7 linked regions of the Mus musculus genome follow. The protein of the gene in region 5 purifies or fractionates together with the protein of the main gene of each other region. This does not show direct contact. Links are inferred from orthologs where the notes say so. Each region holds a gene or a part of one and is shown on either strand. Other genes may lie near its edges.

Evidence for each region.
Region 1: the proteins of Yaf2 (region 5) and Csnk2a2 purify together in Homo sapiens (affinity purification with mass spectrometry; 9 studies listed by BioGRID and IntAct, counting the BioPlex papers as one, with this or other methods). This does not show direct contact. The link is inferred for Mus musculus from reciprocal best matches to the Homo sapiens genes YAF2 and CSNK2A2.
Region 2: the proteins of Yaf2 (region 5) and Mga purify together in Homo sapiens (affinity purification with mass spectrometry; 5 studies listed by BioGRID and IntAct, counting the BioPlex papers as one, with this or other methods). This does not show direct contact. The link is inferred for Mus musculus from reciprocal best matches to the Homo sapiens genes YAF2 and MGA.
Region 3: the proteins of Yaf2 (region 5) and Tfdp1 purify together in Homo sapiens (affinity purification with mass spectrometry; 3 studies listed by BioGRID and IntAct, counting the BioPlex papers as one, with this or other methods). This does not show direct contact. The link is inferred for Mus musculus from reciprocal best matches to the Homo sapiens genes YAF2 and TFDP1.
Region 4: the proteins of Yaf2 (region 5) and Cbx3 purify together in Homo sapiens (affinity purification with mass spectrometry; 4 studies listed by BioGRID and IntAct, with this or other methods). This does not show direct contact. The link is inferred for Mus musculus from reciprocal best matches to the Homo sapiens genes YAF2 and CBX3.
Region 6: the proteins of Yaf2 (region 5) and Bcorl1 purify together in Homo sapiens (affinity purification with mass spectrometry; 5 studies listed by BioGRID and IntAct, counting the BioPlex papers as one, with this or other methods). This does not show direct contact. The link is inferred for Mus musculus from reciprocal best matches to the Homo sapiens genes YAF2 and BCORL1.
Region 7: the proteins of Yaf2 (region 5) and Wdr5 purify together in Homo sapiens (affinity purification with mass spectrometry; 4 studies listed by BioGRID and IntAct, counting the BioPlex papers as one, with this or other methods). This does not show direct contact. The link is inferred for Mus musculus from reciprocal best matches to the Homo sapiens genes YAF2 and WDR5.

The regions. Positions count from the first base shown.
Region 1 is NC_000074.6:95,457,787-95,461,564, forward strand, and holds part of Csnk2a2 (casein kinase II subunit alpha'), read right to left. Parts: coding exon 3,760-3,778; intron 3,003-3,759; coding exon 2,892-3,002; intron 2,388-2,891; coding exon 2,286-2,387; intron 1-2,285.
Region 2 is NC_000068.7:119,962,950-119,966,654, reverse strand, and holds part of Mga (MAX gene-associated protein), read right to left. Parts: intron 2,964-3,705; coding exon 1,690-2,963; 3' UTR 1-1,689. UniProt on the Homo sapiens protein: Functions as a dual-specificity transcription factor, regulating the expression of both MAX-network and T-box family target genes. Functions as a repressor or an activator.
Region 3 is NC_000074.6:13,337,446-13,341,724, reverse strand, and holds the start of Tfdp1 (transcription factor Dp-1), read right to left. Parts: upstream 2,975-4,279; 5' UTR 2,919-2,974; exon of another isoform or gene 2,805-2,918; intron 2,784-2,804; exon of another isoform or gene 2,285-2,783; intron 2,061-2,284; 5' UTR 1,998-2,060; coding exon 1,986-1,997; intron 1-1,985. UniProt on the Homo sapiens protein: Can stimulate E2F-dependent transcription.
Region 4 is NC_000072.6:51,469,031-51,473,589, forward strand, and holds the start of Cbx3 (chromobox protein homolog 3), read left to right. Parts: upstream 1-1,585; 5' UTR 1,586-1,709; intron 1,710-2,221; exon of another isoform or gene 2,222-2,480; intron 2,481-2,785; 5' UTR 2,786-2,814; coding exon 2,815-2,838; intron 2,839-4,559. Other genes in the region: Hnrnpa2b1 (heterogeneous nuclear ribonucleoproteins A2/B1), read right to left, coding at 641-646.
Region 5 is NC_000081.6:93,334,026-93,338,421, forward strand, and holds the start of Yaf2 (YY1-associated factor 2), read right to left. Parts: upstream 2,911-4,396; 5' UTR 2,758-2,910; coding exon 2,732-2,757; intron 2,441-2,731; coding exon 2,315-2,440; intron 1-2,314. UniProt on the Homo sapiens protein: Binds to MYC and inhibits MYC-mediated transactivation. Also binds to MYCN and enhances MYCN-dependent transcriptional activation. Increases calpain 2-mediated proteolysis of YY1 in vitro.
Region 6 is NC_000086.7:48,365,151-48,368,928, reverse strand, and holds part of Bcorl1 (BCL-6 corepressor-like protein 1), read right to left. Parts: intron 1,511-3,778; coding exon 1,420-1,510; intron 1,161-1,419; coding exon 1-1,160. UniProt on the Homo sapiens protein: Transcriptional corepressor. May specifically inhibit gene expression when recruited to promoter regions by sequence-specific DNA-binding proteins such as BCL6.
Region 7 is NC_000068.7:27,513,932-27,518,158, reverse strand, and holds the start of Wdr5 (WD repeat-containing protein 5), read right to left. Parts: upstream 3,013-4,227; 5' UTR 2,879-3,012; intron 2,854-2,878; exon of another isoform or gene 2,407-2,853; intron 1-2,406.

The sequences.
Region 1 (3,778 bases), on a different chromosome or scaffold from region 5:
TCATAGGGATAGGTTATCAAATTTTCAAAAAAAAAAATTATACAGCCATATCCTACGTTGGCAGAAATTTTTATAATTAATGCAACTTGAAGTTAAAATTTTACATTGATATACAATTTATAGAATAATACAGATTTAAATTTCTTATATTGATACAAGATTTAAAATTATTATTGTTACTCTTTGATAGGCATTGTGCCTGTACAACTCTTCTAAGAATACAAGGCTTGGACCCAGTCCTTCTAATAACTCCCGTTAAAAAGTGTTTAGGGGTTGGAGAGACAGCTCAGCGGGTAAGAACACTGACTGCTCCTCCAAAGGTCCTGAGCTCAAATCCCAGCAACCACATGGTGCCTTACAACCATCCGTAACGAGATCTGACGGCCTCTTCTGGTGTGTCTGAAGACAACTACAGTGTATTTAGGTATTAAAATAAGTAAATAAATCTTTTTTTAACTTTAAAAGAGTAAAAACAGTGTTTAGGATGATTAAGTAATACAAGTCAAGGGCTAGATTATATTATATTCTGATTTAATTATAATAAAGTGTTTTTAATTTACTCAAATAGAAATGACTAAGAATAGTTAAGGTATAACAGTTCAGATATACTTTAAATAGATAGACAGTCTTCTTTTTTAAAAAAAGATTTATTTATTATATGTAAGCACACTGTAGCTGTCTTAAAGACACTCAAGAAGGAGTCAGCTTTTGTTATGGATGGTTGTGAGCTACCATGTGGTTGCTGGGATTAGAACTCAGGACCTTCGGAAGTGCAGTCAGTGCTCTTAACCACTGAGCCATCTCTCCAGCCCCCGACAGATAGTCTTCTGTGGACAGAAGTCCACAGAATACAACATTTAAGGCCATTTCATTATTAAAGATCATTTGACTAGAATCTAGTCTGCTCCTGACTACACCCCTTTCTTGGTTCAAAGAAAAAAATTAAATATCAATAGAATTGCTCCAGTCGTGGAGAGATTACCACTAGGCAAAAATTGCCTCAATTCATCTACAAAAATACTGTCCAGGAAAAGGTCATACTATGTGAAATAGTTGACCGGTAGCTCTGCCAAGCAAGACAGGGTAAGCAGTCCTTCACAATTCTGCTTTACAAAAGTCTGTCAGATGATCCTGGGCCAGAAGGCTCATTATATATTCGGATTTAATTATAATAAAGTGTTTTTAATTTACTCAAGTAGAAATGACTAAGAATAGTTAAGGTATAAATGTTGGAGACTGAAGCTCTAACATTTTGAGGAATTAGGGACTGTCCAGGTAGTCAGCTGTCTCTACAAAATGTTTAAATTTTGGAAGCTATCTCTTGTGCTTCCTATATTTTCAGGTAATATTTAAGTCATTTTTGGATTTCTGATGGAGTTGAAGACTAGTTATAGTTTCATAGCACTCAAACTGTTTAACATTAAGAGAGATGATACAGATTTGAGAGGATGATTTTCAGATGGTAATACAAGCTAAAACCAGAATATAATTCAGATATAAAATTGTAAGCTTTTAAAGTTAGGATAGATGGTAGAGTGTTTTATCTAAATTGACAATATGACAGACTGGGTTTTAAATATATCTTATACTTTCTAAATTGCATAATAGTTGTACTCAATTTATACGAGGGGGAAAAAAAAAAGGGAGAGCCCTTTAATTGTACAAAAAGGGGGAAACATTGTGGCTTGCCCTGGTGCTATTTGTATTCTGATGTTAACTCTGCTTCCTCAAGAGGGGCTGCCCGAATAAGGAGTGGATCATGTGCTCAGGTGATCTCATGTGAACCTTCTCCTCATTCTAACTGGTCAGATAAAGGCTAGAGCCTGTGATTGGGCAGTGGAAGGGAAAGGTGGGGCTGGAGGTTTTAGAGAGGAGGAAGAGAAGAAAGAGGAAAGAAAGACAGAGGAAGAGGAGGTGGAAGATGGAATAGTACCACGTGGCCTGGAGAAGCCGCAAGTAACAAGGGATCTCATAGATGGGCGACAGAGTAGTGTAGCGGTAAATGTGCCCAATCTAGCTGTGCAGCTTGTGAATGCTGTAACTGAGTTGTGTGGTTTTTGCTCGGACATATTGGGGCTGGAGATTTACTGCAACAAAGAGATACCTTATTTCTTAGACCCATCTTGAAGGTTCAGCATAGACAGCAAATGTCTGCATGCTTTGGGATTTTGTACCACAGACACAATTCTGAACAACTCATCAGCTTACATGGTAGCCCATATATAGTGAGTGACATTCATGGCTCAAATGTTATATCTCTAGCATTTATAACATAATCTGCTCACCTGGTCATAGTTGTCCTGCCCGTGGAAGAATGGCTCCTTTCGGAATATCATGCTCGCTAACATGCAGCCCAAGCTCCACATGTCCAAGCTATAATCATACATCTGAAGGCAGTAAGGACGGTCGATCAGTCAAAGATGGCTAGAAACTCTTTGTACTGATGGAGTTTCTAGTACTCATCTGACTCCTGAAGATTGGCCCGTATTTCTAAGGCACTAGGGTCTTATACTTATCAGGCAAGTTCCATTCTTAGCCTTTCTGAAGTTATAACTAAAAGTCATTCTTTCCTTAAAAAAAAAAAAAGGGCAGCAAGAGGCTCAGCTGGTAGACTAAGTATCCAAGGCTGCCAACCCCAACAACCTAATCCTTATGCCAAGAACCAACATGGTGGAGAGAACAAACCCCTCTAACCCTCACACGTGGGCTGTGGTACAAGTAAGCTTATACATACATAATGAAAAAAAATTTAATGTAGTTGAGAAAAAGCTTTATAGAGTAGAATAATAACTGGGTTTTGTATGAATCCATCGACTACATAGCAAACCAGGAAAATCCCTAAGAAAATATAAAATTAATGCAGAGCAGAGCAGCTTCACTGACACGCTCACCTGATAGTCCACAAGGAGCTCTGGTCCCTTGAAGTACCTCGAGGCCACTCGAACATTGTACTCCTGAGCAGGATGATAGAACTCTGCCAGACCCCAATCAATCAGTCGGAGCTATAAGAAAGACAAGAGGAAACAGACCATGAAAGATGCCCTTGGACATGCCCATGCCTGTGGTGAGGCCACAGCACGTATCTATAACAGGTACTTGATCACATAGAGTAGGAGTGTACCCATGGAAGACTACACTTCAAGAACTGCAGATGAGGTCATTTCTGGAGCACTTGGAATGTTTCCGAGTTTTTCCCTTTAAGTTACCCTGGTCTTTTACTCTCTCCAGATCATCAGAACTCAACCTTGTTTCTGCCTCCATGCTACTTACATATGGAACACACTCCCCCATCACTCACGGCTGTTAACATGAGCTCCAGGCAACACTGAAGGACATGTATGGCTCCCTCCAGGCAGAAGCACTGCACACTGCTCTAACTGGTTATTAAGCTAACACTGGCTGTGACAGCCAGAGTTGGAGGGCCCCAAGTGTATCTCTTAGGGCTAGTTGGACTGGAATGATCATGAAGAAGTGACGTAGAAACCACTGTTGTAGTTTCTTCCTAAAGCCCTGTCAACTCTAGAACTAAAATAAAACCAGAAACTATAGTCATGGTTAGCATGTACACACGTTCCTGGTAGAAACTAATAATACAGGAGACTAGAGAAGTCAGAGTAATCAGTCTACAAAAGGAATCAGCATGGTCTACAGACAGCATAGACAGCATCGTGTCTACTGATACCACAATGCTATTTGACGAGGTTTAGATCTTCCCTAAGCCTTCAGCAAAGGTTTGGTGCTGCCTGGCTGGATTGGTACCTTTTTTTGTTGGTGATCT
Region 2 (3,705 bases), on a different chromosome or scaffold from region 5:
TCAGAGTTAATCTAAAAAGGAAATCAAACATAGAAGTAATTCACTGGCTAGATTCATTCCAAAGTTGGTCTCACAACCTAGGTCAGAGGATACAGAGTGGGACTTAGGATAAAGACGCAGTAGTGTAAAAGAAATACAATCACCCAGGCACAGCCCAGGCACCGGAAGCACTTGTGTTAAAGTGTTTTTACAACACAAGCAAATCCTGTCATTGAAGACAGAACGGGTTACATTCCAAAATATAATTATTTAAGAAAGGCAAATGCAGCAGCTACATCTCAGTCTATACATTTTCAGAACAGTGATTCTTGCCTCACGAGTTCCCGAGAGACCCCTCAAATGCACCATGATTATTTACAAACTAGATAGGAAACATTTCTATACTCAATACAAATCTCTTCTAGGTCGAAAACTTCATCCTTTGAGAAATCTATGAAAACAACTATACAAAAATATAAATATCTTCATCTTTACAGGTTGTCAGTCCTTCATACCCTGACAGCCAATGAGTGAAAAAGCTCTACAGATCATTGATGCCATGATAGCAGATAAAAAATATACTTTGTGACTCAAATACTGCCTTACTTCCCTGGTAAAGATTGCTCACTCTGACTCGCCTTTTCTTTACATCCTGTGCAGGTGACAGTGAACAAAACCTTCAAGCACCTAGAGGCTGGTTTCATTTGGGAAATACCCAGCCCCACAAATTTTTATTTTGGCTACGGTCTCTGGTTAGGGGAGAAACTGCTTTTCATTTTAGCTGTTTCTTGAGTGACATGATTTGGGAAAGGGAAGGGCTGCCTCTATGTCTACTTCCAAAAAACAATGAGTAGAAATCTCTGGTATTATGAATGAATCTTTGTGATACCCCAAGAAATAAGGGAGAAGTATGTCTTTTTTAGTCTCTGAAAATAAGTATGTTAATAGTAAAAGTAAAAAGTATATTCCTACTTTACCAGAAAGCTTAGGTTTTTAATTATGACTGAAAGGGTAAGGGAAGAACTATTCTGGATATGAAACAGTCTGCTGAATGACAAAATCCCTTCACTTTGGTATTCCATAATATTCATCCTACCTACTATAACATTCTCTCTTCCTACTCCCCTGGCCCCCACAAGTGTGTATGTGTGTGTGTGTGTCTGTCCCCTTGATAGGCCAGGGTAGACACAAACTTGCAATCCTTCTGCTTTAGTCTTCTAAGTGCTGGAATTACAAGTGTGCACTACCATGCCCAGTCCTACCATGCCCTACTATTGAAATAGTAACTAAAAGTTCTTTTTTTTTTTTTTTCCCACACAACTGTATCATAATTCTCAGATTTTGGAGCCAACAACTATGACTTATACTTTAGTCTATAGTAATTCCAAGTCTCAAGCATTTTCTCAGGGGAAAATAATAAGGTAGTTGATGGAGCCAGAATCTTGTTATGAATTCCTTGGGCAAGAGGGAATCACACCTTCTTAGAGAAGATGAGGGGACCCAGCACCACAAGTGAGGTAACACATTTTTAACATGATCAGAATTTCAAACACCAGGACCAGCACCCTACACCTCCTTTCTCCATCAATATTCACACATAATTAAGTCAAGGATAATAGTTCCATAATACAAACAAACAGACGCCTACAGAGAAAGGAGGTGAAATTCATTTCCCCTCACAGCCTGGCTTTTGTATGAGGATGAACAAGCTCATTTCCCTGATGAACTTGATGGAGCTCCAGAGTTGCCCAATTTAGGTACAACAGGTGCCAATGTAGGCATCACCTTGCTCCCCCGGCCTTCCTGGTCAATTCCTGCTAAATTCATTTTGTGTCCAATTGACCCAACTTTGGCAGCTATAGGTGCCAAGGCAGGCATCACCTTGAGACTCTGACCATCGGCATCACTGGGGGGATTAGCTACTTTTAAACCTAATGGGGCCAACTTTGGCATAGGCCTCCACAAAGTATCTGTGTTGCTGTTCTCCGGGCCAGTCTTCATGTGTAAGATGGGAGGTGAAGATACACTTTCAGGCTCTGCGGGGAGACCAGAAGTACTCTGCCCTCCATCACTAGATTTCCTATGGGAAACAAGAGAATCCTTTATTTCAGGGTCAATAACAATCTTAAGGACATCTGGCTCAGAGGCTGTGTCCCCAAGCTGTTTTTCATTCTCAGAAAAGTCATCATCTTCCAAGTGCAAGAGGAGGGGGCTGATGGATTCACTCTCCTCTTGGACATCAGGCAACTCTTTCACACCTGCTCCCAAGTGTCCAACTTGGAAAGCTGATCTGTTCCCAGGAGCAAGTTTACTGATAAAAGCTCGCTGAGCATCTCCTGAGAATTCTGTATCCATAGAACCTGACAGTTCAGCTAGGCCAGAGTCATCATTTAGCTGTTGATTAAGAAAAGCAATTTCATTGAGCAGTGAAGTCAGAGTCTCATCAGTGTCATCCTCATCTTCCATGTTAGTCAGCAGCTCACTGGGATGGAGGGCTGCTTCCTCGATAGCCGAGGCTACTTTCCTCAGTTCCATCTCTATGCTTGAGTCCTTCAGATCTTTCATCTTTAATTTATGAAACTGAGACTCCTTTGACTTTAGTCTCTCTCCTCTCAACTCACACTCCTTCCATTTATACCGATGCCCTCTCACATCACCAGACATATTTTTAGGTATAAATTCCTGTGCTGCCTGCATAGTGGAAACATCAGCTACATGTGGAAACCCAGAATCTTTATTTGCCAAAAGCACCTGTGTTGGACCCAGTGCCTTTCTGCTATCTCGATGGTTTCCTCTGGAAGAGATTCTCTCTGTATCTTTTAAGGAGCTGGCTTCACTCCCAGCAATGTCTCTCAGGTGGTCAAGTGGCTTGCCATCAGGAACTTCGTGACGGTATTTGTTGCCACTCATACCTCCCAAATCTTCCTCTGCAGCCAATGATGTCACATTGACAATTCGTGGCATCATAAATAAGTCATCATTCTCTGAAAATCAAAAATTAAAGAGAGAGTTCATTAGATGCAGTAATGAAAATCTCTTTTTCTCTCTCTCCTTCCCAGTCTATCTTAGTCCACTTTTGTCAGAATAACAGCTGAGGGGTTGGGGCTATAGCTCAGTGGTAGAGCTCTTGCCTGCAAGCGCAAGGCCCTGGGTTTGGTCCTCAGCTCTGGAAAAAAAAAAAAAAGAAAGAAAGAAAGAAAGAAAGAAAGGAAGGAAGGAAGGAAGGAAGGAAGGAAGGAAGGAAGGAAGGAAGGAAGGAAGGAAGGAAGGGAGGGAGGGAAAAAGAAAAAAAGGACAAAATAACAGAATAACAGCTGAAATAGCAATAAGTCAAGTAAAATCTAGTCAAGACACTTAGGTATTTCATTATTAGCAATAGTTCCACTTAATTACATTTTTAGAAAATCTCTACAAAATAACTCTTTTCTTTTTTTGGACTGGGAGAGCAGTGGAGGAGACTGAACCCAGGAACTTGCCTATACAAAGTATAAGCAAGTACATTACCAGCCCTAGGATTGGACAGAATCAGGATCTTCCTATGGAGGCCATGGTTAGCCTCCAACTCACAAAATTCTTGTCTTGTGTTTCATAAGAGCTGTGATTATGGGCACAGGCCACCATCCAAAAACCAGCTTGCTAAGCTAATTCTTGTCCTGAGGCAGAAACACATCTTGATTTTGTTCACCCAATTAACTGCTAGTTAGAAGGGAAAATGGAACTCTAAGA
Region 3 (4,279 bases), on a different chromosome or scaffold from region 5:
GGGAGTGCCAGCACCGACCTTGGGAGAAGACGCCCAAACCAAGCCCCTCTAGCTTTCAAGGCAGGGTGATCATGGCTCACCCTGGCCACATGCTCTTCCCACACTCGGACAGTCTACAGTACCACAGGAAAGCACTGCAGGTGCGCCCCAGAGTATCTGCAGGCACTCACCCCCACTCCACTGCTCCGTGCCAGCTCCTGCCATCCCCATCCTGTCCACTGACAACTGCCTGCCCGGCTTCACAGCCCCGGTTCACAGTGAGCCCAACTTACCTGCTGGTCTGCCTGGGCACCAGCAGGGGCAGAAAAACCCTAAGTTATTTGTCTTCTGTCTGCCCTTCCTGCCCCTCTTCTGTGACCTCAAGCGTGACTTTTGTCTGTTCTCACCAGTGTCATGGCCTTCAGAGCCACATGTCTACAGGACCCTTTACAACCAGATTTCACTTAAGCATCAAGTGCTTAGAACACTTCAATGGTGCCTCTTTCTTTCCCTTCAGCATAAGTTACAAAGTCCCTTTCCGAACCCAAACATCACATCCTACTTAAAAACACAGTTGGCTACAGAGAAGACCCAACCCTTGACTGTCTGCAAGAAAACAGGGAGCGCCACTTCACCTCTGCCTATGTCTGTGCGCACTTGTTGGGGGACTAAGCTGCAGCATTCTGATACCCAGTCACAGCACTGGCCTAGCCACACCACAATGGCTAACCCCAAACCGGCAGCCGGACAGGAGCTCCTGACCACTTGCCTCCCCAGGGGACACTGCACACAGGAGTGTATAATGACAAACTAAGATGACTGGGCTTGAGTATGCTGACTCAGTGAAACTACACCATGCCATGTGGCCTCACAAAGGCACGGGAGCCAGCACCCCGTTTACACCCATTCACCAAATCTAGCTACTTTGTAGGCATGCGCTGGGTGGCATGTCTCTCATTAGGGCACTCGTGGGGACGGAGTCAGGACATGGATGTACATAGACAACAGATATAACGAGATCAAGCCAGTGCCATATGTAGTTGTGACTTCAGGTGACCTACACAAGGTCTCTCAGGGTGAGACATGACCCCCCCCCCCCCCCGGCCCCCAGGAGCAGGTCCGGTGCTCGATGACCAGAAGAGGGTCTGTTCCATGCGGGCCAGTCAGGACAGGACTCCGCACCTGCACCACGGTTCCGCTACACCTGGGCACAACTCTAGCTGATGCGGCATGTCTGCCTGCATTTCCAGGGCTGCACAGAAAAGGCATGAATCTAACAGTCACAGAACAGTGGACACTGAGGAACACTGGAACGGACACGATCAGTGTTGGAGGGAGTTAAAGCAATACTGCAAAAATGTATGTATGTGACCAACAATACAGACTGTATTTACAGCCTTAAAACCTAATTGTCCATACCTGTTTCCCAAAAAAACTTCAAAACGCTCGGTAGCTTCGTGATAAATATGAAGCTAAACCAACCAGCATTTCCACGGTGTTTCATTAATCACCAAATGTCATCTTTCTGAGAAAAATGTGCCCAAACAAGTAGTTGGGATTCAATCCATCAAAGCTGGATTACGGTCTTACGTACTACATAAAACTAGTACAGTGTAAGTTCCATGTTGACAGCTCTCCTGTGTGGAAACCCACTAACAAACAACACCCTCTCACACACTCATAACTGAGAGATGTATTAATTTTTTTATTTTATTTAAGCAGTTTAGATAAAGAAAAAAAAATCAAGACATCATCATCAAACCACGAAAAAAAAAACAAAAAAGAAAAAAAAAACGTGTCACGCTTCGGATGACAAAGACCATTTGTGCAGAGGGGAGACACCCACCTAACGACTCTCGCCATCATCCCTCATCTCCATCCCAGCTCCTGCCTGTAAAATGTCTTGGCCAACCCACTGCCACACACGTATGGCCACTCTCAAATAAAGGGAGAAAACTGCAACGAGCTGTGCCAACATGTCTGCAGCATGCAGCGACCATACTTACATCTTTTGCCATGTTACCAGATCCAGGAAATCAAGGCTTTAACTGCGTACCCTCCACAGAAGAAACCGTACTTATCTGGTTAAAAAAAAAAAAAAAAGAAAGAAAGAAAGAAAAGAAAAAAAGGGAGGGGATGAATAATGAATGAGAATGAGAAGAAATTTAACGCACATCGCATTTCAAAGGAAACATCTCCCCACCAGCACGAGGCAGAGGCAGGCCTCCAGGCAGCAGGGGCCTTTCTTGCACAATCCCGACAGGAGAGCTAGCCAAGCAGGTCCCACACGGGGATTTTAAGTCACCTCTCTAAATGGAAATGCTCCCTGCGGGCACCAGCAGCTCCCACCGGCAGCGGGGCCAGACCCCGGACCCTTGGCTGAGCGACGCGCAGCCGTCAGGCTCACCCCACCTGGGCACGCGGGCCCCGCCTGACCACAGGCCCCGCCGAGGCACAAGGCCCCCCACTTGGGCACACGACACTGCGTGGCTCCGCCCGGGCCGCGGCGGGCACCCCCCACCCCGGGCTGCCCAAGACCCCGAGGGGCCGCCGACCACTCTGACAGGTGGGCTCCCGGCCGCCCGCCCGCTCGCCCCACCTGTCACTAGGCCCAGCCACCAGCCCCGCGCCCTGGCGCGGACAGAGCCGGAGGGTGGCCAGGACCCCTGCCCGCCGCCCACGCCACGCCGCGTCGAGGCCGACTCCAGCTGAGGCTGGGCGGCGGGCGGGATGCGACCGGACGCGGGAACCGGGCTGGGGCGGGAACGGGGCCGCGCGCCCAGCCTGCGCCCTCCCGCCGCGACCGGCCGGTGCCCCCGCCACACCTGGCTGGCCGGCGGGGCGCGCGGGGCGGACGACGGGGGCGCGGAGGCGCCGGCCCGGAGGTCCGGCCCTGGCGGTCCCTGCCCTGAGCCAGCGGCGCCGGGACGCGGGCTCACCCTGGGCCGAGCGTCGGGCCGGCGTGACGTGCGCGCGGCGCGGTGACGTGGGCGGCGGCGGGCCCGCTGCGCGCAGCGCGCCTGCGCGCCTTTTCGCGCCTTCGGCGCCCTCCTCCTCCTCCTCCTCCTCCCGCCGCTCATCTCCCGCGCCTCTCGCCGGTGCTACCCGCCCTGGGAGAGGGGCGGGGCCTGCGCGCGCGTGCGCGTGCGGCGGGACCCGGCTGGAGACCGCCGACGCCGAACAGCGCTGCGCGCGTCTCCATGTGCGCTCGGAGAGAGGCCACGTGTGTGCGCGCCTCTGTGTGTGTGTGTGTGTGTGTGTGTGTGTGTGTGTGTGTGTGTGTGTATGTGTGTGTGTGTGTACACCAAGGGCCAACTGTATGCATATCTGTGTGCATGCGCAGGGAGTAGAGGGCCACGTGTTTGGCTCTGTGTGTGCGCGTGTACCACGCGCGCCAACGGTGAAAAGAATGTGGTGTGTGCCATACCTGCATGCACACGTAGGGAAAGGATCATGTGTGTGCACACCTGTGGATATGCAGAGTCTGACTGTATACACGTGTGTGTACATGGAGTATCAGTCGTGTGTGCACGCCTGAACATATATACAGAAGAGAACCCTCTGTGCAAACATATGGAAACCTATGTTAATGTCTGCGCACTGAAAAAAAGCAGGCGTGTGTGTACACATGAGAAAAAAGAGGTCAGTTCTGAGAGTGCTTTAAAGTACCTGCATGTGCACACAGGGAGAAGAATCTTGTTCATTTACACAGAACAAAGTAAAGACTGTTCGGATGCATACTGAACAATACAGAGACAAGATCCCCCACCTCTGCTCAACTACTGACCTCCACAGCCACATGCCCTGAGCCTGGGCTGTCAGTGATTCAGGGCAGGAAACAGCCTGTTAATCAGGTGTGTATGCATTTGCGCCTTTCACTTCAGAAACCTTCTGCTTCATCCCAAGAGGGGTCTGGTAGACCCTGAGCCTTGAAGACTCAGTCCATCTTAGAGGCCACTTCTTTAAGACTAAAGCTGGAGAGCCTGGGAGGAGAATAGGCTGGGGCTCACAAATCAGTCCAAATGGTTCAGATAAAATGACACAACGTTTCCCAAGAATATGGGACTGAAGAGCAGGGCAAAGTTAAGTACTATCAGAAAACTGTTAATGTGAGTGACCGGATTTTATTCTGGAGGAAAGGTCAATTTGACTCCCAAACTGACAGATCTTTCTCCGTTACCTGGCTGCCTCAGTCCCATGACTCAGCCCAACAGCCCTTCTTTAGCATCTGGCCGAACTGTCCGCCAGCAGCTGTCCTGTTTGAACACTGCTCAGCGGCTTTGAGGAAGCAGCCCTGCAA
Region 4 (4,559 bases), on a different chromosome or scaffold from region 5:
TTTCGTCGAGGGGAAGGCAGAGAGCCTTTAGCGAGGTGCGCAGGACGCTGAAGACCCAAGCTCAAAACGCTAAATCCACCTCGAAACGGTATGAAGACTTCCAAAAGAAAGGAAAATCGCTAAACACGTCTACGCAGTGGTGAAAAAAGAAAACCAAACTAGTAAACCTAAAGCGTTGAAAGCAAAATCGTGGCGAGGAAGGAGACGGGAAAATGGCGGCCGCCAAATCCGGTTCCCGGGAGAGGGGGGAGGGGAAGCTTCGCAGACTCGCTCCGGGAAGCCGGGGGGGCCCCAGAAACGTTCCGCCGCGAACACAACCGAGCCCCTAGGCCCGCGCACATCGAAAGGCCAGCGATGGCCCGCTCACGCGCTACTTTAGCGGTCCAGCCCGGTCGCGGCGGGCACTTCCCATCCCCCACCCCAACTGAGGGAAATGGCGCCGGGCGGCTGAGGGCGGGGAAGGCGGTCGGACAATCAGAGGCCTCCTCCAACGACCCCTCAGAAACTCGCCAAGGCCAACCGCCACTCGAGTGGCCGCATCCCCTCCGCCGGACCACGGAGGCGGGTGGCCGGTTTCCATTGCGGTGCCTACGGCCTCGCCATGCCATTTTTAATAACTCATTGATTTCAAACCCGTTACCTCCATCGCGGACTCAGTCGCTTCAGCCCGATTTCCCGCAGCCGAGCGAGATGAGAAAGACCTCCGCGGACGGACGCGCACGGGACTCGTCCTGGCGCTGTGGGGAGAGCAGGCGATGGCCAAGAAACTGGGCCGCAAAGGAGCTCCTGCACACGGGACCGGCGCCGCTGCTACTGCCGCTGGAGCCGAGACCGCCGCTTTTCTAGAACCTTCCCCCCACTAACGCGTCTCCGCTTACGTCACGCCGTTACGTAAACGCCCTAACCGCCGCCAATGGCGGGAAGGGCCTACACTCTCCTTACGCCAAGTACGTGACACTCCCCCTTTAGGTACAGCGGGACTGCTTTACATCACTTGCGCAACTGTGTTCCGTGAATTGCGGAAGGCTCGCGCTCGGCGTGTTACTACGTCCGGAACTAGGTCCGGCCCCCACCTCCGCGTAGGGAGCGGAGAAACGGTCGCGCAGTTTGAAATAACGCCGTCGGGAGGGGCTTAGGCCGGCGCTGGGGCGTGCGGCCCTCTCCACCCAAGCGTGCTCTCTGCAGCTACGCCTTTGCCAAGCCCGTCCGCACAAATATTCTCGAACCACACAAATATTTCTACACGTCCCAAAGGGGTTCTCACTCGGTCCCTCCCAGAAGGACTTTTAGTCCAAGTACCACCCCGGATGCCACAAGCCTTGGGATCCCGCGCCTAGTGAGAGGTGGTGCTTAAAGAACCCCGCTGTTTATCTCCCCGGCCTTCAAGATCCGGGCAAGGAGGTGGGTGGAGCCCCGCTTTGGCGCGCTCCGAGACGCAGAGAGGCCTCCGCGGTCCTTCCTGCCCGCCTTCCCCCCCCTCCCCCCAGCCAGGAGACCCCCTGGGCGCCACGCCGCGGACGGTGAGCATTGCGCGCGCCGCCCCCCGCAGGACGCGTTCCCGGCGGGCCCCGCGCGGCCAGGGCGTGGGCGGTGCTCCCCCTCCCCCCCGGCGGAGCTGCCCGCGCCCCCTCCCCTCGGATGTGGCTGAACCGAAGCGCGCAGGCGGGAGACTCTGCAGGATCCGCGGCCCTGAGCATCGGAGCGGTGAAGTTCGTGCCTTTGCTTTTTTTCGATCTTGCGTGTGGTGGGGTTTAGGATGCTCCGTGCGTCCGAGCTTGCGGGGAGGCTGCGAGCCCCGTGGGCCGCGGGCTGCGGGAAACCGGCTGGGGCCTCGCTGAGGCGGGCGCCGCGCCGGTGCGTGGGGGAGATGGGACAATTGTGCATGAGGGTGGGAGCCGGATGACAGCTACCGAGACTCCAGACAAAGCGCGGGCCTCCCCTCCCCCAGCCTCGTCGCAGGCCCGCAGGGAGAGAGCGGTTCAGGCTCTGCAGCTGCGAGGCCCGAGGCTCCGGGCTGCGGCGCGCTCCCGGCTACGTGGCCGCCGCCGGATGGGGGAGGCGCGGGCCCGTGGCGCAGTGCCCTTGAGCCCCCGCCGCCGCCTTTGTTTCTCCCCGCGGAGGCGCTGACCACGAGGCCCGCGCTCTCGGGTGGGGGACGGGCTCCCGACCGGGGAATGGAGCTGGGAAGGAGCCCTCCTCGGAGGGGAGCGTGAAGGAGGTCGACTCCTTCTATCCTTATCAGGACAGTACTTGGGAGCTTGAGGCTGGGGATTGCCAGGCGTTGAAGCCCAGACTGGACTATAGAGAGTGATTACCGCACCACCACCCCCGGAAAAAAAAAGCCAGAAAATAGGACTGGGACATCTTAATGTGTTCCTTTTTTTATACCGTGATTGAACAGGGAGGGCCTCTGAAAAAATAAGGATGGAATTATATGAGCTCCTTGGAGTATTCAGAAATCTAAAGAAAAAGATCTTATGGTAATTTGCTAACAAAAGATAGTCATTTCCTTTCATCCAAAATAAACACTAAAATTGTTAAAATTCTATATGGATTGGGAAAGTAACAATCCTCACCATGTAAAGTTGTCTGAGGTACCAGTGTTTTAGTAAGATTATTTTCACTAACATACTGAAATTATTAGTAACATACTAATAACACGGGAACTCAACTGTTTTCCTGCATTTTTACCCGAAATTTACATGTTGAAATCCACACAAAACTTGTAGCTGCCTTTTGTGTGTCATGAAATTTTAACTGTCCTACATTTTTTTTCTTGCAATAGCTCTTCAAGTCTCCGATTAAATTTAAAAAATGGCCTCCAATAAAACTACATTGGTAAGTTTGTGAAAACCTAGAACATAAGAATCTTAACTGAAGGATTTTTTTTTTTCTTTAAAATTACAATTAAGAAACCATGTGGTGGTGGATCTCTGAGTTCGAGACCAGCCTGGTCTGCAGTGTGAATTCCAGAATAGTCAGAGCTACACAGAAAAACCCTCTCTGGGCGTGTGGGTGGGGGAGCTAGAACCTGTGGTGGACATGGTTGTGCCTTCCTTTAATCCCATCATAAGTGGGTGAATTGCTGTTAGAAGCCAGCCTACCTAAGTCCTTGTATTTACCAGCATTCTAAAGAAAAAGGAATTAACACTAAGTAAGGCTTTTCTTAAGGAGGATCACAATACATTTTTTTGAAAAAGCGTTGTACAGTTTTTGCTGGATGCTTTTGAGGTAAAAAATGCATGTTTGTGGGTTATAAAACAGCTCAATCTTCAGAGCCCAAGGAAAAGTGGAAAGAAAAAACAAGTTTCTACCAGAGTGTGCCTTGATTTCCACACAGGAGCTCCATCATATTGTTAATGAGCTGAATGGGGGAAGAGTCGTGGACAGCTCTATAAAAGTCTTGTGGGTTGGCATGATTACCCTGGAAGCTGTGCTGTTCTGGAGACACTGAGCATTCATTAGTGCACAGAGAGTGAGTTAGATAGAGCTCACGTTGCCATGAGCAAGAATTACAAACTGTCTAGGAGTGATCTAAGACTGTTAGATCAATTCTGTTTCTTTTCAGCGATTTCTGACTGTTGCTAAATCCAGTGTTAGTTTTCTTGGGATTTCTAGTAAGTTAGACAAATTTATTTTTGTCAAGTTATATTTAAAATAAATAAAACTGGGTCAGCCAGGCAGTGGTAGCCCACAACTTTAATCCCAGTACTCCAAGACAGAGGCTGGTAGATAGATCTACACAGCGAGTCCACGGACACCCAGGGCTACACAGAGAAACCAAAAACGGAGGGAGGAAAAAAAAATGGGTCTGAAGGTGTATGTTTGTGATCCAGCCTGTGAGAAGCTGAAGCAAGCAGATTGCCTTGAGTTTGAGGCTAGCCTGGATTCCAAAATTCTGGGTAGTCGGGGCTGCATCCAAGACCCTGTCTAGAAAAAGATTCATGTCAAAAGAGTGAAATTTACAGTTGTGGTTTCTACATTAATTAGGACACATTGATCTCAATCATATGGAGGTGTGCATTAACAAAACATGGGTTTTTATCCTTGAATTTCTGACCAAAATGAGCAAGAGGGTATTTCTATCTCATATAGTGCATGACTTCAACTGGTCTGCAAAGTGGACTAGATTCTGTGATCAGAAGCCCTGATGGTCACTCTTAGATGACCCAATACAGTGATAAGCATGAATCATCTGGTAAACTGTGGAGATGCTGTGAGTGTGGGTATGGCCCTGGATGCTGATGGACTGAGTATCCTGGTTCTGAGGTGCTGCTGGTGATTTTTTTTTTCCTGCGTGATCCTTCACTTGGTGATGGTTAGAGGGACTAGGCATTTGATAGGGGGTTATTTTTGTGATTCCTTTAAAAAATTTTTAAGTAGCATCTGTAGTTACACATGGTGGTGCATACCTATAATTCCAGCACTGGGAGAAGCTGAATCAGGAAAAATCACTGCAAGTTAAAGACTAGACTGGGCTACTGTCTCAAAAATGTTAAAGGGTGCATAGCACTGTTGTGGAGGTGAAATGCTTGGGCATATAAATAGTGGGTTATTTT
Region 5 (4,396 bases):
CAGAGGTTGTTCTGACCCAAGGGATCCAAATGCTGGCTGTGGTCACACAAACAAGTCATTAGCAAGCTGTGTCCCTGTGTGCTGCAGCTGCCCCCTCCCTGCTCTCCTTCCATCCTATCTGCCAACAGGCACATCAACTGGGGGAACAATGTCCCCCGACCACTCAACTCTTGCCTTCCATCTGTGTCCCAGTCCTTCACCTGGTTTCCTGTCACTCCTAAGAGGAAACACTGTGCATGTAACCAGCATCTACTTATTAACAAGGCCATGTTCTACTGATCCATCCAAACACTGTGCATGTAACCAGCATCTACTTATTAACAAGACCATGTTCTACTGATCCATCCAAACACAGATCTCGGGGCGGGGGGGGGGGGGGGGAGGGGGGGAGCAAAGGGAAATGTAACAGACAACAGAGAAGTTACAACTCCTGCCATTCACTTAGGGGTAAAGTCAAAGGAGACAATTCAGAGAGAGAGAGAGGAAGAAGCTCAGAGGGACACCGTTCTGAGCACCTACTTTTAGGAACACGGTGTCCCTTAGACTTCTGGTGAGGGGCCCAGAGCCTCTTCAGTTTCAATCCAAATGACAATGCTTCTCTGAGTCCTCCTCAAGTAATGTTTCCACCACTAAAAATTGGATCTACTGGTTAAAAACAAAAACAAAAACAAAAACAAAAAGCCAGGGGCCTGCAGGTGGGTCTCAGGCCTCTCTAAAGCAGGCCCACTTCTGTTGTGGGCCAGCTCCCCTGTGTGCTACAATCCTCCTTCTTCCAGGAGTCAGGGACTCAGCCTGGTGCTTCTCTTCTGAGTGTCACCACCTACTCTACTTCTCGGGGCTCCTCTAACCCCAAGACTGGCTGTGGAGTAGGACACACCAGCTTGCCCCCATCCTTGCTGTCCCTGCAAATAAACAAATAGGCTCTTCTAATCCAGTGTTCGTCTAAAAGTATGAGAGGATACAAGTAAAAACAAAAGCAAAAAAAAAAAAAAAAAAAAAAAAAACCCAAGTCAAATGATCTCCATATTGCTCATTTACAAATACACATATATTATACACTAAGCCGTTTCCATCCTTATATAGACATATACACCGTGCTTTCCAAAACACTTAAAACGTGAGTCCAGAAATAGCAAGTAGTTTCTCTTTTTAGAATCTTTCCTTGAACTTAAAAGGGATTTAAAACCTTGCTTTTTAATAGACACCAAGAAATACTAAAAATATTGTATTCAATGTAAATGAGAATTCGTAGTAAAAACCTATTGAGATTTATGACAGGTATGTCAAAAACAACCAGTATTGTAGAAACAATAAAATCCTGACATGTCTCTACACTTACAATGTTAGTAAAATTCTATAAACTGAGTTTTTAAAAAAAAAACAGGATACATCATTTTTAGAAATAACTTTGACTATTTAGAATGTCAAAATTATACAGGCCCTCTGTTTCAAACAGAAAATTCCCCGTATTCTGTAATCATTTGTATTTGAATAGGCTTCATAGCAGCAAAATAAATGCCTTACTTAAATATTGCTACAAATCACTGTAGAAGTGGATTTAAAGGCGGCCTTCCCAAGGGAACTATGACCAAGTGGAGACAGATCAAGAATGCTACTGAGTTCGAATTTCCTAAATTTAACTCTTTTAAATGGTTTTTTTTTTTTTTTTTGGAAAGACAATTATAATACTATATGCCTACCATACAACAAATCCAGGGCCGGCAACAGACAAAGATCATGTCATCTCGTTTGTGTAAAAATATCCAGGCACTGGAGTAAAACTGCGTTGCTGGGTTCACCTCCCAACCAACTACTTAACTGTAAAAAATTATTACAGAAATAGAACAACAACAAAAAAAAACCCAGACGCGAAACCTTGGCCTGACCCTTTCCGGACATCCGTTACTAAGAAAGTTTAATCCATTACGATCCTACAAGCGATACTTTTTCCCCAGGGGGACCGAGTGACATCGCGGCCTTTCCTCCGTCCCCTCCCCCGCCCCGGCTCCCCGTCCCCGCCCCCTCCCCGCACACTAACACCACAATGCGACCAGCGATCACGGTCTCTGCGCCCGGCTGGGGAGGGGGCACCGCACCGGCCACGCATGGAACGGCACGGCACGGCAGCGGCCGGCGACCCCCATGGATAATTCATCCTCCGCAGCAGGCGCCACCGCCGCCGCCACCGAGCCCTCGCCGCCAGCCGCGGCTCAGCCGGGTCGCGCCCCACCGCGGCCGCCGCCTGGCTGGCCGCCCCGCCGTCCCGCGTCGCGCGGGGGGCCCCGCGGGGGATCCACGGGCGCGCCGGACTCACCGGGTGGAGGTGCCCTTCCGCACATCGCACATCATGCACTTGAAGGCCTCGGCGCTGTTCCGGAAGGTGCAGACACTGCAGTCCCAGTAGCCCTCATCCGAGGCGGGCTTCGGCTGCCGCTTCGGCCTGCAGGACACAACCGGACACGACGCAGCGCGGGGTCAGCCGCAGGCCGCGCCCGGCCCCGCGCCCCGCCCCGCCCGGCCCGCGACCCCCGCCCCGCCCGGCGCCGCGCGGGGGAGGGGAGCGCGGCCGCTGACCCCGGCCGCCATCGCGGCCCATTGTGGGCAGCCGCGCGCCCCGCCGCGCCGCGCCGCACCCCCTCTCCCCACACACACGCGCGCGCCCCGCGCCGCGCCGCTCCACGCCACGCCACGGGACCCCGGGCCGCGGGCGCTCCGCCGGCGGGCGCCCTACCTGGTGGGGCTCTTCTTGTCGCCCATGCTCGCTGCCGACGCGCGCCGGTCTGTCAGCGCCGGGGTGAGGGGCCGGCGGAAGCGCGGAGGCGAGGGGGCGGGGAAGGCCGCGCCGCGAGCTGCAGCCGCCGCCGCCGCCGTCGCCGCCGCCGCTGCCGCCGCCGCCGCCGGATCCCACGCAGCCTCCAGCTGTCGGGGAAACTCCTGCCTGCGCGCACGTGACCCGCGCCGGCCAACCAGCGGCCGCGCCGGAGACTTCAAACGCGGGGAGCGCGGCCCAGCACCGGCGGCGAGTTCGCGGCGCCGCCTCCCTCCAGCTCGCCCGCCCGCTGGCTGCCCCGGAGCGCTCCGGCCGTGGCTCGCACGCCCCGAAGGGCGCGATGGCAGGCGCCCGCAGACACGCGTGCGCCCGGCGCGGCGGGGACTGTCATCCTTCCTTCTGGGGAAGCGACCCAGAGGCTCGGGAGAGGTTCGGTGCCCTGCTCTAGCTTACATAATTCAAACGTGACGAAACCAGGGTCTGATCCGGTTTTAATTGCAGCGGCGTCCTCCTGGCCTCACGGGGCTCTGCAGTGGCTTGTTATAAAACGGACGCTCGTGAGCCTACGTAAGGCAGACGAGGTTGCTTGTGCCCTGGACACCACCTCCCCGAGTCTCCTTACTCCAGCCTGTCGGGGATACACACCTCGCCTGCTAGACCCAAACAGCCATCTCGCTGGTCCTTGAAGCTCTGCTTCCCACCTCGCCGATCTGGCGGGTACCCCACAACCAGAGTTAGCTTGACATCCCTCTGATCGAGGGGCGACTTTAGCATGCCAAGTCGGTGAACCGTCATCAGGAAAGCTGCCCCTGAAGAAAGGAGAGATGAAATCCATCCCTTCTCGGAGCCCTGCCTTCTTCTGCCTTATTTGGGTGTGCTGATGGAGGCGTTGTAGCCTCCGCATCAGGCTTAACTAACTGAAGGGGACCCAGTTCAGGCACTGCGTACTTAACAGTTGATCTGACTGTGTGGCTCCTGGGATACTATAAGGTTGTTTAGAAAATGTATCCAGCTGGGCCAGAGCAGGATGGAGCAAATTTTCATCATGATACTCAGAGTGAGATGGCAACTAAAAACTTGAGGAGTTAACTGTTTAGGAAGTCCTTAATATTTTGAACTATATCGTCTGTGGGTAATTGAAACAGGAAAGCAAAACTCCAGCAAAAGGGAGACTACTGTATTGATGTGTTACTTACCAAACAAGAGTTAATAACCAAACTGGAGGATGCTCTCCTTTTTATCATTGGGAATATGATATTAATTGGGGTAATTAAGAGGGAAATAGGCTTCAAGCTTCTGAGAAAAGAAAGTCAAAATGAATTATAGCAGAACGGGTGGGAGTATACAGCTCAGAGATGGAGCACTTGCACAAGGCACTGAGTTACTAGAAATTTGGAAAAGCATTTAAAAGATTGTTTTATGTGGGGTTTGCTTGGGTGCTTAGTATTACTTTATTTTTGCAGAATAGAGAGTCTGACTTAGTTGAGTGTAAAAGTTATATATTAGAGGTTGCGTTAATTTTCCAAGATAAAAGAGGCTGAGTGGTTTATGCAATGGAAATGTTTTTTCCCATAATACTGGAGGCTCCGAGTAGAAGATAAAGATGTCAGGGCTGCTTTCATCCAA
Region 6 (3,778 bases), on a different chromosome or scaffold from region 5:
ATGTATACCAGAGGCTGGTTAGGGGTCAGCACTGTCCCTGGTTGAAAAGACAGGGGGACTTTTTGCATAGCTGGTGCCTGAGCTGCAGGAAAACACACTCGACTCAAACTGAAGGAGGCTGGAATGGGCGCCGAGGTGGGGATAGCAGCTGGTGTGGCAGCCGGCATGGGCGTGGGGGCTGGAGTAAAGATTGGGGCTGGGGTGGGCGCAGGCACCGGTGTAGGAGCAAAGGCAGGAATAAGGGTGGGGGTAGAGGGTGGGCCAGAGGAAGGGGTCGGAGTGGGCATTGGTACAGATGGGGGGGCAGGAGCTGCTGGAGGTGTGGATGCTGGCATGGGAGCTAGAACTGGAGTTGGGACAGAAGCAAGGACCAAGGTGGGAGCCGAGGGAGGCACGGGAGCCTGGATCAGAGCCAAGGGAGGTGCGGACACAGAGACTGTGAGAGGGGTCGGAGCAGGAGCCGACAAGGGCACAGGGACCGAGTGGGGAGCAGACACTGGTACTGGCACCAAGACAGAGGCTGACACAGAGAGAGGGTTTGAATCAGAGATGAGAGTAGGCACCGAGGGCGCTGCTGGGGCTAGGGGAGGGGAAGGAGCTGAAGCCGATGTGGCAACTTGGACTGGAACTAGTCCTGAGTGGGGCACTGGAGCTGGGACAGAAAGGGGAACTTGGAATGGATCGGGAACCGAGGGGGTCCCAGAGGCCGATCCAGGGGCAGGAGGGCAGATAGGTGCCGGCAGCTGACTGAAGTTAGTGGTAACTAGAGGCAGGGTACCCTCCACAGGGACTCCAGTTCCCAGAGTTGCCAAAATGAAAGTGTTCTTCTCCCCAACACCGTGCCGAGAGTCCAAAGCCTTTACCCCGGCTGGCGAGCAGTCAACCTGTTTGCTCATTTGGGTGCTTAAGGGAGTCCAGGAGCAGTTGGCTCTGCTGTGGCTGGCCTCAGTGCTGTCAGGAGTGGGCAGCTTGAGCCCGTCTCCCGGGCTGCTCAGTGGCACCAGGAGGCCCTCAGCCTCTGCTGGATTCCCAACATAGTCCATTTTTGGCTGAGGGTCATCAGACTGATCTTCTGACCTGTGCCCAAGTTTTTCTGTGGTATTGCCATCTGGGTTTGTCCCCCGGGCATTGCTGCCACTTCCAACTGCCGTGAGCTCCACCTGCGACGAAAGAATAGCATGGCCATCTTAGCAAAGTCCTGGGAACTGATGCAGGTACCCTGAGGCCCCTGGGAAGTACCTGCTGGTCCTCTCGACAACTCAACCAACTGCAATGTACAGGGCATGCGCAGAGCCGTTTCTGTCTCACCTACAGCAACTTGTGTCTTCTTGCTCCCAGTCTCAGGAAGGCCAAACTAGGCACATGGTCCAAGAAGCTCACCCTTTGATGGGTAGCATGTGACAGCACATAGCTCCTTACCTTGGAAAAACTGCTGCTGACACAAAACTCCTGAGATCCAAAGTGCTGGCAGCCACCTGTCGTGGACTCCTCATCAGAAAGAGGTGCTCTTCTGGCAGGGAAGACACAGCAGAAAAGGGAGATAAGGCCCGGACTTAGAGCACTGACACTTCTAGAAGGTCTTGCCTGCCTAGCTTTCCAAACCCTCCTGTCTCACTTCCATGGTGACCTCAGGGGATGGCAGAAGACTAGGAGCTGAACCAGGCAAAGCGGAGCCGCCACACGCAACTTTGCAAGTTGCTGAAGAGGAGGAGCCTTGTCTGACCAGAATTTGGGGGCCACTTATTGTGCTTTCTAGTGTTCTCACCCAAAGTGCAGATGAACCCCACCTTAGCACCTTCTCCTTTCGCCTGGAGCTTAACCATCAAGTTGACCATTCACTCCAGGATATACAAGGCATTGCCCAAAAGGAGAGAGATGTAACCCAGAATCCTCAAGGGTACACAAATTAGTTTTATTTTAAATCCAATCTTGTTTCAAGTCTATATGGGAAGTGCCATTCAGGGTAAACCTCTTTGTAAGCAAATCTCCACTTCCACAGTGCTTTCCAATCTAGTCAAAATCTGAAGCGTTTGCTCCTCTATCGGGCAAGGCGGGCCTGAAGCCCAACCACACTCACATTTACAGCACTGATGTGAGGCCATCTGGTCACTGACACCGAGAGGCTCTTTAAAACTACGACATTTAGCTGAGCATGTGTCCTGTCTGTAATGTGAGTACTTAGGAAGTAGAGACAGGAAGGTAAGGAATTCAGTCATTTGGGCCACAGAAGATCCTGTCTCAAACAACAAGGAAAATGCAGTGGACTGGTGATGTGTGTCTTTAAATCCTGGCACCCAGGAGGCAGAAGCAGGTGGATCTCTTTGAGGTCAAGGCCAGCTTAGACTCAGCAAGCCTATACAGTAAGAGTAAGACCCCGTGTGTTACTTGAAAAACCAGCAAAACAAAGCAAACACTTCTTTTTTTCTCCAAAGGAGCATTTCTAGAAGTCAACCTGGCTCCACACAACATGCTCTCTTCTCACAGTACATGGGCGCACCTTCCTTTCAGCCTCTCTGCATCACCACATCCTCTCTCCTCCCAAAGGGAGCGCCTCAAAGCCACAGAACTCTGTATTTCTATTGGTATGTGCCATAAAGAAAGTCTAAAGGCCAGAAAGCTGGATCTCAAAGGAGAAAAATTCAACCGTAACCCCCTCCCCCAAACTGCTCAAGAAGAATTCTCTAAACTTCAGGTAAGAATCCTAAAACATGTGCCATTTGACAAAACGAACAAATAAAAGGATCACACGCTAAAGTAAAGTCGAAGGACAAGTGGTGGCTCCATACCGGCCGCTGGCCGCTTTAAGTGCAGCAGGAACCCGGCCCCTGTGCTCAGGAGCCATATCAATAGGGCAGCCGCCTGGGTGGGAGTGGCTGCAGAGGAGGTAGGGGGTCAAAGAACAAAGCTGCAGCAAGTTTTCTGGGTGGGCAAAGCACAGGGCTGCTCTGCCTGCTCTTTGTTTGGGTTTGCCTGCCATCTTTGGAGCCCTGCCAGAGATCCAATACAGCCCGTGAAGAAAAGTCAGCAGCGTCTGCCTTAGCGACCACACTCTAGTCTAAAGGGTATTTGGGGGTGCCTGCAGTCAACTCCAGCAAGGAGGAGCACCCCTGCAAATAACTCCCTCCCTCCGACTGAAACACAGACTTTCTAACTGTACCTGGGGCAAGAGAAGCAAGAATGGCAATGAGGATCGGAGCCGGCTCCAGAAGGGGCTAATCAAGGGGGAAAGGCTTGTCCCCTTTAACAAACAGCTAGGGTGGCAGAAGTGGGACAGTTCCACCACTGGAAATGACTGCTGGTAACACAGGACTGTGAGGCAAGGGCTTTGGACCGCAGTTAGGGGTCTTGAGGAAGAGGAGAGATGGAGGGCTACAGAGAAGGGAAAACACACTTTTCACATCAACTCCTGAGAGAGCAGAAAAGCAGGACCTATATGGAGCCAGCCTTGGGCTGGAGAAGCATGTTCCAACTAGACTCTCCAGGGATGGTTTAGGGGGAGGGCGCACCTCTCCCCTCCACAACTCCACATGGGAAGGCCCTATTTGTTTACATTCTTTCTCCTCCTGACCACGCTCCCTCCTGCTTGGTGGGCTCCTCCTTGGGCAGAAATTCTGCCCAGAAGAAGAAAGCAGAAGCTATATTCTCACAAGCCAGAGGTTAGCAGTGAAGCCTAGAGCCAGGCAGAGAGGCTGGTGGTGGCAGCAAAGGCAGCACTTCTGGCTACTCCAGCCATGCCTAAGCTGCAGCACCAGCCCCCCAAGCTCAGGGAGGAAAATGT
Region 7 (4,227 bases), on a different chromosome or scaffold from region 5:
GAGGTCCTGAGTTCAATTCCCAGCAACCGCATCTGTAATGTGATCTGATGTTCTCTCCTGGTATCTGAAGACAACTATACTGTACTTATAAATGTAAAATAAATCTTTAAAACATAAAAATAGAAAGATTCCCAAGAAAAAGAATAAAAAGGGGGGCTGGTGAGATGGCTCAGTGGGTAAGAGCACCTGACTGCTCTTCCAAAGGTCCGAAGTTCAAATCCCAGCAACCATATGGTGGCTCACAACCACCCGTAATGAGATCTGATACCCTCTTCTGGTGCGTCTGAAGACAGCTACGGTGTACTTACATATAATAAATAAATAAATAAATAAATAAATAAAAGAATAAAAAGGAGAAACACGACCACCACATTGAACCCTCCAACAAATCAACTGTCCCAAGCTGGGGATAACTGTCACCCTATCCCAGGGCTGACGCTTCAGACACTCTGTGTGATGGCCTAGGCTTCCCACTGTAGCAGACAGGTGTATACAGGGATGTGAGTTTGCTTCAAAGAGCCCTTGACACAGTATTTAAAAGGCTTTCTAACAGAAACAACAGGCCAAGTAACAGGAGGTAGACTTTCTGTGCACAAGTCTGTGAACTTACCCAAATTCTAAAATACACCCAAATAATTTGACGAAACACAGTGGCCTCACCTCCTCAGTGGCTCCCTGTGACCTCATAAACTGCAACATGCCTTTAACAATACCTAGAGCTTACAGAGCACAGGGACTCAGTGCACAAAGTACTACCGAAAGCGCTCCAAGAATAAAACAGAGTAGTCACTGCCCCCATGTGAAAGAAACCTCTGGGGGAGCAGCACAAACAACAGCAGATAAGCTGCAGGTCTGAGGGAAAGTAGTTATTCCAGTCAGCTGGACAGACTCAGCCTGAACATGTATGCAACTGCAACAGTTTACTGCAGTTTACAGGAGGGCCCATCACCTGCACGCATCCAGAAAAGCACACCACCTGACTGGGAAATGAGCTAGTACTCCTCTAACGGAGAGCTACTGAGACATTCCTCAGCCATCAATGTAAGGAGCAATCATAATGTAAAGTCTGGCTTTGAGGTTAAACCTGAAACCTCACATGGACCCCCACATAAGACTAAGATGAAAGGACACCAAAAGAGAACAATGCCTCAAAGTCTTCAATCCTAGAGGAAAGAACAGGAACACCATGCACCACACAGGTGCAGCCAAGCTGTTTTACCTGCAGCCATCTCCATCAAGGTCAAATCCGCTGTAGCTCAAGCCCAGGTGCAAGGATCAGACTAGGGTAGGTCCCAGGGGCCTCTCCACAAACAAAGCTCTTGTGCCCAGGAAATACCAGCTGCTTGGTGCTTTTAGCTTTTTGGAGACAGGGTCTTGCTATGCACTGGTATTAAAAAACCAGTCTCAAGCTTGGTATGGTTGGTGTAACAGGCATAAATCAACTACCAGGCCTGACCTGGTGCTTATTCTTAATGCAACTATGGCCATGAGTTCCCATAGCAACCACTTTTGTGGACCATACAGGTAGCAACAGGAGCTGAGACTTAAGTAATGAAAAGGGCTAGAAAGTCTCTTTCAACCAGCATCTCATCTCCCTACTCCAGTGAAATGAAAGGCCAACAGTGTAGGGCAGATCTATCTCCAGTGTGGGAAGTCTCTAGGAACTAAGCTTCTTTTAGCATATAAAGAGATTCACCTAACAGCAGGTGGATGACCTTGCCAACAAGCACACCACCACCCAGCCCTGCCCATCACATCGTTAATAAGCTGGGTCTTTCAGGAAGACAAATATTAACATCTGAAGACACTAGTTGTAGCACCACCCACTTTAATTCCAGCTCTAAGGATGAAGAGCTCTAAGGATGTGGGCCCCAAACAACCAACCAAAAAACAAAAACAAAAACGGGGAAGAAAGAAAGAAAGAAAGAAAGAAAGAAAGAAAGAATATCAACATTAGCCAATCTGCCTCACAGCATTCAGGAGGCTCAGGAATTCAAAGCAGTTAAATGTGAGGCTAGCATCAACCTGAAACCGGCTCAAAGGAGACCACCACTTTCCAATTCCACAGGGTAGAGTCCAAGACAGAGCACTCAGGAAAGCAGGACTTGGGGAGGGCAGGTCTGGGAGGAAGCTGGGTTAAGCAGGATCCTCAGCAGGTGGTTTGGAGCTGGCCTCCACTGCCCACAAAGGAGGTAGGTAACCGGCAGCCGCAGCCGGGGCTTTACACTAGAGTGAGCCTGACTATGGAAGGGCAGCAGCCATCAGTCTCCCTCCAGTCAAATGTAGACTCCTGGTTTCCACCCTAGTACACAAGTATGGGAAGACAGAATGGTTCAGTCACTCAGGTGAGTGCAGTAGGTAACCCAACAAAGAACTCCAACCCATCCTCTCTGGGCTCCTAGATACCTAGGTACTAGTAGCCTTGGCTTCACACCACTGTGCGCTCAACTGCCCGGCTGTCCCGGACAATGTTCAGAAACCCTTGACCGGTCAGCCCTAGTCAGGTAGAAACTTGCGCTAGGACACAAATGAGGGTTGTGCCCGCAGCACGAGAGGCGCCAAGTGGCCAAGGAAACCTGCGCGACGCTGGCTGGGTGTCCCCGATGAGACAGAGAATTCCACTCCCAGTGACGCCAGTCTGAGGTGTGAGTCTCGAGAAGCTCGCAGGACTAAGGGTCTAGGGGCGTAGCAGGGGCCGCAGTGGAAGTAGCGGGCCGTGGCGGCCACAAGGGGCGGCGGGGTCGGGGCGCGGCCGCAAATGCGGCGTCCGGCCCGGCCCGAGGCCCTCGGAACACGTGCGGCGCTGTGGAGCCCGGAGCCCGAGGGCCCTCGTGGCCGCCGCTCGCCTCGCGCCCGCGGGACCGGGTTTCTCGCTTACCTGCCGGGGCCGCGGCGGCGGGGCCGGGCGCTCTGGCGTCGCGTCGGCTAGCCCTACGCGCGAGAGCAGACGATCTGCTGGACTAGGCGGCAGCGGCGCGGGAGGCGGGAGGGATTGCGCGTGCGCGAGGGGCGGGACAACGGGCGGCGACGAGGGTCAGAAAAACTAGAGGAGGCGGAGCGCCTTAAAGGGGCCGTCTGTGGTTCTCGCTTCCTATTTGACCGCTACTGGTGTTCGGTAACTGCAGACTGGAGCACTCTAGAATTAAAGATGGGTGAGAACGTGCTTAGGTGCCTCTCCTGTTATTCTAGGCTGTGTAGCCAAGCTAACAGTTACAATTTGCCTGTGCTGGCCCGTGCCTGCCCAGGACTGTTGGGAAACCTCTTGGTGCCACTGGTGGATGTCCACGAGGTCCGGAAGTCCGGAGCTCCTGCGGCCTCCCCAGCCTACCGCAAGGCGGGGGGCTTCCTGCCGCTGCAAACCACAGCTCAAATTGAACATACTTGCCTCTCTTCTACAGGGCCATAAGGAGGCTACGCTGTACCACCACCACCACCCCACACAGACACACTCCGAAAAAGGTCTTAGGAGCTACCGCTGCAGGGAGAGATCTACAGTAGTGTCCAGGGAAGGCAGGGCACTACTGTAGAGAAGGAAGCCTGCACGCTGACAAGAGAGGAGCTACCTGACTTAGAAGACAAACAAGAAAGAATGTGGACAGGAAAGGCAAGTGTCCCTAACACAGGGGCTCCAAGTCCTCCAGCTATGCATGCATCTGGAACGATGCAGTTGCACCTGAATGTAGGCTCAGGCAGTTCACATTCCAGGCAGCCACAGCATCCACTACAATCTGGCTCCTGTGTGGCTCTGGAGCTCCATTTTAAAGGCTTTATCTCATTTTCACAAGACAGCCCCTAGCAGGCTGGCCGGCCTGCAGTTAGCAAAGTTTTGACAGCCCTCTTTCCTGTTGGACCACCTCTACTCCTGTCACTAACGGGGAAAACACCCAGAGAGGAGGACACAGGGACAGAAGGAGAACCTGGAGCCAGGTCTGCACCTCTCACTTCACTGTCTAACTCACATGGTCTTAGACTCTTGGAGGTGGCTATGACCTGTGCAGCCTCATCTTCCAGTCTGGGAATATCAAATATAACGCGTGGGGAACCTGTGCAGAGGGAGGGACTAAGCAACTGAAGCTTGAGAATGGAGAGTGTGTGGTTGCCATAGCTACAAGAGTGTGAGAAGACTGACATTGGCCTGGAATCTCCTGCTAAAGGCACAGAAACAGTTCAGACGAATCTGTGTGTCTAACAGACCTATGCCAGGAGCCCTGGATGGAGTGGAGCATG